Linked DNA regions of Arabidopsis thaliana. The protein of the gene in region 2 interacts with the protein of the main gene of each other region in a pairwise test. Each region holds a gene or a part of one and is shown on either strand. Other genes may lie near its edges. The genes, in order: AT5G45360 and SNRK2.1.

Region 1 (4,773 bases), about 16 Mb from region 2:
TTTGCTTATAGATTGAATATTTTCATGAATTGTTTGTTGTATTTTTTCAAATTTGGAACGGTTTTTAATTTCTCGTGGGGGTGTTTATGAAATATATTAAACTGTGGGGGCAAAGGAGAGAATTATGAGAATATTTTCCAACGTAAATATTTTAGCGTTGCGAGAACGCGCAATGGACGCGTGATTCTGTTTACGTAGGAGATAAGAATGTCTTTTAATTTGCACTTTCGCAAGAGAATCGAATCCAAAAAATTCTTATTAACATTAATTGAATTAGTACATATTTGATTTTAGGCAATGTCACATTGCCAATGTGTATTAATGAATTTATTTAATAATAATTTCATTTTTCTAGTTTTGCTTATGCTTATCTCACTAAATACTAAAATTTTCTAAATCCATTCATACTTTATACTTATCTATAAAATCAAACATTTATTAAGATTATCAATTCATTTTTCATTCAAACACATCAGTGGTGATAATTGATGTATAGTTATTAGAATATATTGCTATAAACTTCATTTTGAACTAATCATCGATTTGTCATCATAATCAGTTCTAACCAGGACAAATTTGTAATATGGTTTAAATGAACAAAGAATGGCTATAAAAATTAATGAGAAAACCAATATCGGGAGCAAATTACTAGTTACCAATAGGTTTACTGATAAAGTTGGAACGTAATTACTAGGTGTAACACTTTTTAAGGACAATGTTAATCACATACAATGATATATATGTATACGTTACAAAGCTGACTGATTAAAACAAGAGCTACATTTGATTCATTTCAACTCCACAGAACCCAGGCAGAATCAGGTCAGAGAGAGAGAGAGAGAGAAGACCTTACAGAAAGTAGGCCTTATGAAATTGGACAAAAGGTCGAGACTTTTGCTCAGCAGAACCTCAGGGTACGTTCCAGTTCCTGCTCATCATCGCAGTTGTAGCCAAGTTCAAAAGCTCGGGCTGCGATGAAAAGAAGACGCAAATAGTTCACTTATGTTGGAAAATAAAAATAATATTTGGAAAAGGAAGTGTGTGAGAGATATGAGAAAGAGATAGATAGATGTGTACCTAATCGGCTTTTATCTGTGAATACTTCAGCTTCTAGTTCAGCTTCTTCCTCATAACACCCATCTGCGTCTGGCTCAGTTTGTACAAGTAAAGTATCAGAACAAACTCCTGAGATAGTACACACCATGAGGTCACCCTCTGGACTCAGTATTACTTCCTTGCAGTTATCATCGCATACTGTTATAAAGACCATAAAAACTATGTAAGTTTAGAGTAAAACACAGTAACAAAGTTACATTTTACAGCATTTCATTACATACCATGAACATTTCCCGTCTCTTTGCATATGAACACGTCGTCAATCTGATGGTATGAACATTTGGTTCCCAAACAAATATGGCCAGTGACAGCCTTATCAGTAAGTCCTTTGCTTTTCTTCCATAGAGAAACTTGTTCAAGTACAGTATTGTCAAGAATTATCCGGTCATCCACCATCTAAAAATTGCAAACAAGAACATGAGAAAATTCTTCACGTGATGATTTGTCCTAAAACATAAACAGATAATTATAAATAGTTACCTGGGACGGAAGAGGTGCTTGGCTTCTCTTTGCTGCTTGCATATGTACGTAATACTCCTTGAAATCCGACGGACAGGTTCTGACAAGTTCAATCATGTCCTGTTCATCACGCTAAAATTCGACAAGAGAAAGGAATCACTTAAAAATATATATGATCTGACTTCTACTAGCAACGCAAACTAACACTGTATATTCTTCAGCAATGTAATACTACTTGGAAACATCTAACAAGTTTATACGAAAAACCAAGGAGAAACTCACATCAATATAAAGCTTCTTCCAAGCAGATTCACGTAACTTTCTACTTGGAAGAGTTAGACCCCACCGGATACAGTACCTGCATATAAACAAAAAACAACCAATAAGATCATCACATCGTTTTTGAATACAAAGTATTGATTTTGAAAACAAGATTATCAACGACAATAAGGGGTACAAGAAGAGGCTTACAGGCGACGCCATAAGGATTCATCAGCCGCAGCAAAATTGAGAAATTTACAAACCAAGGAGCATGATACAAGATCCTGTAATGACATTCAAACAATTTAGTTTAAAAGCAATCCTCAAACATCAATAAAGTTCGAGTTTGAACTATATAGTATATACCTCCGAAGATAAGAACTTGAGAATATGACGAAACAGCTCAGTAGGAACATTGGTGAAAACTCCACTCTCTATTCTCTTTGCATCAGTTTTATCTTTGTTACCATTTTCCTTTTGATCTTCATCCTTCTCTAGAGCCTTTGTTTCGCCTTTCTCAATACGTTGCCGTTTTGCCTCAGGTTCTTTCGTTTCTTCTTTATCCTCTACCTACAAAAACCAAAGCATCAATAAATAATCTAACCTTTCACAGGACAACGCTGAACAAGAGCAAAATCACAATGGACATCAATCGAAGAACATGAACAAAAATTATGTGATTTTTCAAAAATTTCAAATGTATGCATATAAGATCAAATTTACAGATCAAGGAACTGAAGTTATCAAAAATGAAAAAAAAAACTAGGGGAACGGGAAAATCTCGACAGAATTTCAGATTCAGCTACAAAATTCAAAGATTGATGGAGAAGAAATTACTAAACCCTAAATGAAATCGAAAATTTGAATAAACGGAGAAATTTTTATACCGATGAGACTTCTGATTCGAGGAATCGAGCGAAACACTCATCTTCCTCATCGGAAACAGACATACTTTTCAGTCGGTGAAGATCAAAGCTCCGACGACGATGGTTGCGTTTATGCGGCCAAGGAAAGGATTGGAGAGAGACAAGACTCGAGAGGGTTGGCGTTTGGAATCGGTGGCGTGAGATTGGAGACGACCTCGGGCCGAATAATTTTGATAAATGGGCTAATAACCTAAATGGGCCATATATTAATAAATAAGCCCATAACACTAACCCTCCTCCTTGTCGTTAGCGTCATTAATACAAATTAGCTTTCTAAACGTGATTAAATAACAACATTTTTCTGAATTATTATTACGAGTTAACGACGTTCGAACTACTACTATAATTAAATTTTCTTAAAACAGAACATTTGTTATTGGATCAGCAACTACTTTTTAAGGAGTTTTTTCATTTAAGGAAATGTTATATTACTAGATCCACTAATCGACATAAATAAAGGCATATTTTACCAACTTCAGTATTACACTGTAAAAATTAGGCCTGGAAGTTCGGCATAACCCGTTTAAACCGAACCGAACAAACCGACGATTTCGGTTTTCGGTTTCAAACCGATTTTCTGTTGTAAATCGTTCGGTAGAATTTTAAATTGATTTCGGTTTTCGGGTTTTTCGGTTCGGTTCATCAAAACCGATCGGTTTTGTTCGGATTGGGGAGATACCTTTTAAAACAGAAAAATCCTAGATCTATCACTTCATCTTCTTTGTTTTCTAAACTCTCCTCTTCACGAACACCTTTATTTCTCCTCATCTCTAACCCATTTTTATCTTTTAACCTTCTAATTCTTCCTTATTCCTCCTTCTTCTCCTTGTCTTCGTTCTTCTTCTCCACCTTTTAGGTTCGCAGAAATATTCTATTAAGCCACCGCGACATCGATCTTCTCTGGCAATGATTTCATGGTTCTCTACATCTTTTCTCACCACCGCACAATACAAATCTATTTTCTCTGTTTTCAATGTTCTTCTTCTTCATCTCACCCTTGTTTTTCTTTGACGGCCGTCATTTCCAAAAAATAAAACAAAACAAAACCCTAGATGGGTGTGATGGGCTTTTCTTGTCCCTGGAAAAAAAGAATTTGGGTTTTGAAAAGTTAAAAACCGTCATGGGCTTTTTGACTTTACTTGTCCCTCAAAAAAAAAGTTTTGGGTTTTTAAATGTCAAAAGCCGATATGGGCTTTAAAAACAGCCCACTATGCCTAATATTGTGATCTAAACTGATTAGGTTAACCGATTAAAAAAAATTCGGTTTAATTTCGGCGAATTATAAATCCTAGTAACCGAACCGAAAAAACCGAGTACCGAACCGAACCGAACCGAATTTTTGTTCGGTTCAATTCGGCAGAATTTTTGAAAACCGAAAAACCCGGAAAACCGAACAAACCGAACCGTTTAACCCGAGTAAACCGAATTTTTATATTACACCATTTTTTGTGGAAAATTTTCATATTTTTTAAGTAGGATATATGAGCATATTTAACAAATGTGTTAATCTGTTAGGCTTCAATGTGTATAAGATTTAAGAAAATAATCTGGCAAATTTTTTTTTGCCTCAACTTAACAAAAAATCATAGTTAACAAATTGAAGAAGACCAACGACTACAATGACCAGAGAAGTTTTTTTTTTTTTTGGAACGAAAAAACAGAGAAGTTAGAATTACAATTTACAGAGCAAATCAAAGGATCTCAATTTCTTTAGTCAACAGGTGTTCCTTCTCTTCTTCCTCGATTCGGAGGTAGAGAAGAAAAATGGCAGCTCCGGCGATCCTAAACGGCGGCGATGCGACGGAGAGAGAAACACGAATGGCTCACTCTGCAATGACATTGGTTCAGGTCATAAATGGAGGATACCATGTGGTTACGAAAGTAGCTCTTAACGTTGGTGTAAATCAGCTCGTTTTTTGTGTCTTTCGCGATCTTCTTGCTCTCTCCATTCTCGCACCTCTCGCTTTTTTCCGTGAAAGGTCCCTTTTTATCTTCTTCTCAAAATCTCTCT
Region 2 (5,557 bases):
TAAAAAAAGCAAAACTCTGTCTCAAATTTTACTTGTCTCAATACCTTGAAAGGCTGAAATTGGCAATTCAGTGACATTTTTCAACATTCGTGAGTGCCTATCATCATCATCATCATCATCATCATCATCATCATCTTCTGACTCCACGTTTTCATCCTTTGGTTGAAAAAGAGACAATTTAAAACAAGTTTTAACCTAGATTATTACGTGTTACCCAAACAACTTTACTTGTCGATTAACAGCAACTTAAAAGAAAAAGAATTTGCAATAGTAAGACTTGGAAAAACCTCGCAATCCTCTGCAAGCTCGAATTCGTAGTTAACGACGCGTTCGTAGCGGTTGTTTTTCCTAGATTCCTCTTCAGGCACACCTTCTTCGTACTCGTAAAAATCACCGTAAGCAGAATCAATCTCATCGTCTCCTTCGTCAGAGTTCAAAGGACGTTTCTCATTCGCAATGGTCTTGAGTATTGAGCTAGGTAAGTGAGGTCCTGTTCTCCTCTTCTTTGCATTAGCTAGGTTTTTGAAACTAGATTTCCTCTTCTCTCCTCCTCCCATGACTGTCTCTGTTTTGAAACCTGTCGAGATTGAGAGAGATACACTTTCGTAGGGTTTCTCGACCCTTAACCTTAAGTGTTCAAATCCCGGTTTCGGTTAGTATCCGGTTCGTTCTTTTCGGTTTTTCAGATTTTCGGTTTATAAATCTTGTTCAGATTCGGTTTATTCGGATTTTATAGGTGAACTGAAATCATCATCACAAAGACGAAAACCTATAGTATAGTATCATATAATAATATAAACCTTCTGTTTCATGCTCATTACTCAGTACAACGACATCAATCTAAAAGTGAAACAACCAGCACGTAGTTTACAGCCTTTGGCTTTGACAAATGTGTTTTTCTTTTTACCAGAAGCAAGTCACCAACTCACCAAGGAGTGTTCTTGAAGAAGAAATAAAGTAAGAGAAACAGAGAGCATTTTTCTTTTTAAGCTTTGTCAGACTCTTGACAAGACTGTGCCTCTTTGACATGCTTCTCGTATTCGTCTTCATCATCTTCTTCCTCTTCCACTTCAGCTTCAACGTCCTCTTCCTCTTCTTCATCAGCTCCTGAGCCCGAGCTTTTGACAGCACTAGTTGATGGAGCTGGATTCCTTGCTTCTCCAACTATCTTCATTATGTCCTCTACGCTTTGAAGAGAGAAGCTTGTGTCTCTCTTGTAATACGCCGCTTGAGCCGACTCTAGCAGCTCCTTTGGCAAATTCTTCAAGTACCACGGATGATTCTTGATCTCCTTAAGTGTGATTCTCTGGCAAGAGTGTTACCGGCAACAATCAGAACTGCAAGATATCTTCCTCACAAGATATAGCTAGAAATTTGAAACCGGAATTGTTAAGTTACCTTAGCAGAGTTAGTGACGAATATGCGAGAGAGAAGATGTTTGCATTCCTGAGATATGTGAACATAGTCCGGGATCTTGTATTGTACAGCCATTATGCGCTGCAGAATACCATTTGAATTGTGATATCATTGAGACACTTGATAAATAAGATGAGAAGTAAATCAGAATTGTTGAATGGTGGAGTTACCTGGATTGTTTTCCTGAAGTTTTTTGGATCATTAGGGTCCTCAAACGGGTAAGCTCCCACCAGCATCACATAAAGGGTTACTCCACATGACCACACATCCGCGTGCTACAAAAACGCAGTCATATATATGAGAGCCAAAACCAGTGTATGTGCTCTTATGACAATCATGGAAAAAATATCGATTAGCACCCCGTCAAATTTTTTAATTAAGACCCCACTTAAATCTTATTAGAAGTACAATAACCTGAAAAGTTTCACACAGACCATGCCACTAAAAAAGATATACTAGAAGGACTCTATAGCCTGGATCTTTGAGCAGTCTATAACTTTCTATCCTCATATTTTCCCTTGATGACATTATTTGCTTACTTTGACAACCAATCAAGCGTTAATGACAAACTGATATGTATGTATAACAAGACAAAAATACTGTACCTTGCCATCATATTCTCTCCGTGAAAGAACTTCAGGTGCTATGTAAGCTGGAGTTCCAACAGTTGATTTAGGCCTAGAATGTAGTATAGATGACTACACCATAGAAATCAAATTGAAAACATGACAAAGATATAAGAATCAAGAGAGGAGTGAATAGATAATACTTTTGATTAAAGAACATGCTAATCTGTTTTGGATTGAAGATTGAGAAAAACTGAGCAAAGAAAAGAAAAGGGAAATGGATAAGTGCAGACCTTAGAGTAACCAAAATCACAGATTTTCAAAAGCGGAGCAGGGCTCCCATCGAGCAGTGTGTTCTCAAGCTTCAGGTCTCTATGACATATTTGCTGCACAGAAGCAAAAGAGAGGGGAAGGTTACACAAGGACAGAGGCATTAAATTCCAAATCTCAAACAAAGACTCTGGGAACAAAAACATCAATAGTACTCCACGAATGCCTCATTAGGCAGCACATAACTTTCCTTTTCAGCTTAATGTATATTCTAAGAACTACTATATACATACCAAGGAATGGCAGTAATCAACACCACAAATCAGCTGTTGAAAGAAGTACCTAGCCTGAAATGAATAAGATCAAAAGCAAAAACTTATACACACACATAAATAAGATCACAGAAAATGTTGAAGAAAATATATGGATCAAAGTGTATGACTTTACAAAGAGAAAGCAACCTCAGCTTCACTAAATCTACCGGCAGTACAGATTCGATCAAAGAGCTCTCCTCCAGAAGCATACTCCATCACAATAGCAAGATGAGTAGGTGTCAGGATCACCTAGAACCGAATCAAAATCAGATCCCAAGACAGCTCTTAGATAAACTATAAAGAGCCACACAAAAAAGAGACTTGCCTCCTTGAACCGGATGATATTAGGATGTTTAAGTGATCTGTGATTAATAATCTCTCTCGCCACGTTCTCATCTATCTGCAATCCATGATCAATATATACCAAACAATCCAAAACTAAATTATCATCATCATTTTGATCTGTTGTTATCAAAACCCCAAATTTCTCAAATTTTCCTACAAATGTATAGCAAGGAGACTTCAAATAATGAATTTGAACATACACACTGAGCTAAAAGTAAAAACTTTAAACCCCAATTCAAAACAGAAAGAACCCAAAAATAGTAAGAACAAAAAGGAAAAAAACAAACCTTGCGACCTCTCTCGATGTATTTCATGGCAACAAGCTCTTTGGTGTCCTTGTGCCTGAGAAGGCGAGCCACACCGAAATTTCCAGCTCCCAGATCCTTGACAACGTCATACTTGTCCATATTTCCAAATCAATACCGTAAATGGATAGAGTTCGAGTATATCCGTAGTTTATCTATCTAATCTACCTATAAAACGATTTGGATGGGGATCTGAGAAAGAGAAGCGAGTTCCATTGATAAGAAATCGTGAGATCCAATACACACGCATGTGTGTATAATATCGATGTAGGAAGGAGTAAACGAAGAAGATGGTGGACTGGACCACGTGGAGTGTAATCTGCTAGATTTTTCAATTATTAAGCTTTGATTGAAAGTGAATCCAACGGTTGTTTCAATTCTTCTCGAAATGACAAAATTAGCAGAAATTCGTTTAATCATTTAAATTGCGTTTAGAGAAATAAATGTACAATATTGATGTGTGTTGTGGGCTCTCTCTTAAATACTACAAACCATTTGACTAATTTGGTCGTAACAGATCTAGAGTCAAAATCTTCTATAGATATATATTCGCAAGACTCCATCTTTCCAACAGATCTAATCTTCTTCACTTCCCAAGTGTAAAAACCTCAACTTTCAGCCAACAAAATTAGGGTTTCAAGCTGAGATTTTCTACTTCTGTTACACAAAAATACCCAATGAGTAAAGCTTCGGTGATCCTATACATTACGGTAGGAATCCTGGTGCTCTTCCTCGTCTCTTATTCACCGAAGAAGAAGGGTGACCACGATCACCACCATGGTGGTCACAATCAACATCACCGCTTAAAACTCCGGTCTTCTTTCAATTTCAAACCCACTCGTCACGATCCAGTTCCGTTTGATCCTCTTGTCGCCGACATGGAGCGCCGCCGCGAGGATAAGGAGTGGGAGCGACAGTACATTGAGCATTCTCACCCGGAGCTTGTCTCTCATTCTCAGAAAGAAACAACCGGTGGTGGACATGAACATGCACCTGGTCACGAGTCGCAGCCTGAGTGGGAAGAATTCATGGATGCTGAGGATTACTTAAATGATGAGGAGAAGTTCAATGTCACTGATAGGTTTGGTTATACTTATATATATCTTCAGTTCCCAATCTTTGATTTTGAGCGCTAATTGCAACAATGTGTACTTCAATTTCCTTCAAAGTTTGGATCTTTGAAGATTTTAGTTTAGCATTTACTAAAGATGTCATTTTTGTAAGGAATGAGTTTGATTGCTATGGTACTTTGCAGGCTGATATTGTTGTTTCCGAAGATTGATGTTTCTCCTGCTGATGGGTTTATGACGGAGAGTGAATTGACTGAGTGGACTATGCAGTCTTCTGCCAAGGAAGTTGTGCACAGAACTCAACGAGACCTGGATGTTCATGATAGAAACAAAGATGGTTTTATTTCTTTCTCTGAATATGAACCACCGTCTTGGGTCCGTAAGTCGGGTGAGCTGCTGTTTCCTGTTCGTCTTTGAGTTTCATTGACTAAAATGTTTGCTACTTAATATGACCATGTAGAAATATTTGATGACAGTCTTGTAAGTAGATTTGCTTTAATCTGTGTTTCACTTCTAGCTCTTCTGCCTATGACCTATATAATAATCCTTTCCTTATTCTGGACCACAGTTTGATTGCGATTTTAAGCAAATGATCTCACTTTTGTCTCTTAGGACTGCTAGCTGACTTGGTTATAAATTTAACAGATAATAATTCGTTTGGCTATGATATGGGCTGGTGGAAGGAGGAGCATTTTAATGCATCAGATGCAAATGGTGATGGTCTTCTGAATTTAACAGAGTTTAACGAGTAAGCGTTTTCTTCTAGTGTAGATAGAAATCAACCGAGCTATTTCAGGTTTTTAGTACTATCAGTTATTTTTTCTTTCTATTTCTCACAATGTTTTTGCTGGTTAATTCCCTTAGCTTTCTGCATCCTGCTGACACCAAGAACCCAAAGTTACTGTTATGGTTATGCAAGGAGGAAGTAAGGTAATGTACGGTTGTCATATGATTATTTCCGAGGAACCTTTCTTTTAGCTTAATGTTTATCAACGGATTCCCCTCCTTCCCTCTCCCAGAGAAAGGGATTCAGATAAAGATGGGAAGATCAGTTTCGAAGAGTTTTTCCACGGCCTCTTTGACACTGTAAGGAACTACGAAGAAGACAATCACAATTCTACGCATCCTTACCATGACTTGCCTGAAGGCCCAGCAAAGCAGTTGTTTTCTCAGCTTGACAAAAATGATGACGGGTTCGTAATATACGAGTACACACCATGATTAGCATTTCCATTAATACCATACATCCCTTAACATAATTGCCACTTATC

The links.
Region 1: the proteins of SNRK2.1 (region 2) and AT5G45360 interact in a two-hybrid assay, tested with the Arabidopsis thaliana proteins (one study listed by BioGRID).

The regions. Positions count from the first base shown.
Region 1 is NC_003076.8:18,383,885-18,388,657, forward strand, and holds AT5G45360 (F-box family protein), read right to left. Parts: upstream 2,988-4,773; 5' UTR 2,787-2,987; coding exon 2,724-2,786; intron 2,407-2,723; coding exon 2,203-2,406; intron 2,121-2,202; coding exon 2,047-2,120; intron 1,934-2,046; coding exon 1,858-1,933; intron 1,708-1,857; coding exon 1,597-1,707; intron 1,513-1,596; coding exon 1,338-1,512; intron 1,255-1,337; coding exon 1,078-1,254; intron 970-1,077; coding exon 899-969; 3' UTR 605-898; downstream 1-604. Other genes in the region: UMAMIT1 (nodulin MtN21 /EamA-like transporter family protein), read left to right, coding at 4,527-4,741.
Region 2 is NC_003076.8:2,781,298-2,786,854, reverse strand, and holds SNRK2.1 (SNF1-related protein kinase 2.1), read right to left. Parts: upstream 3,688-5,557; 5' UTR 3,319-3,687; coding exon 3,199-3,318; exon of another isoform or gene 2,967-3,198; coding exon 2,892-2,966; intron 2,816-2,891; coding exon 2,714-2,815; intron 2,600-2,713; coding exon 2,546-2,599; intron 2,369-2,545; coding exon 2,276-2,368; intron 2,115-2,275; coding exon 2,022-2,114; intron 1,692-2,021; coding exon 1,587-1,691; intron 1,498-1,586; coding exon 1,399-1,497; intron 1,307-1,398; coding exon 986-1,306; 3' UTR 742-985; downstream 1-741. Other genes in the region: AT5G08600 (U3 ribonucleoprotein (Utp) family protein), read right to left, coding at 45-195, 288-557; AT5G08580 (Calcium-binding EF hand family protein), read left to right, coding at 3,894-4,297, 4,472-4,674, 4,932-5,034, 5,151-5,216, 5,306-5,479.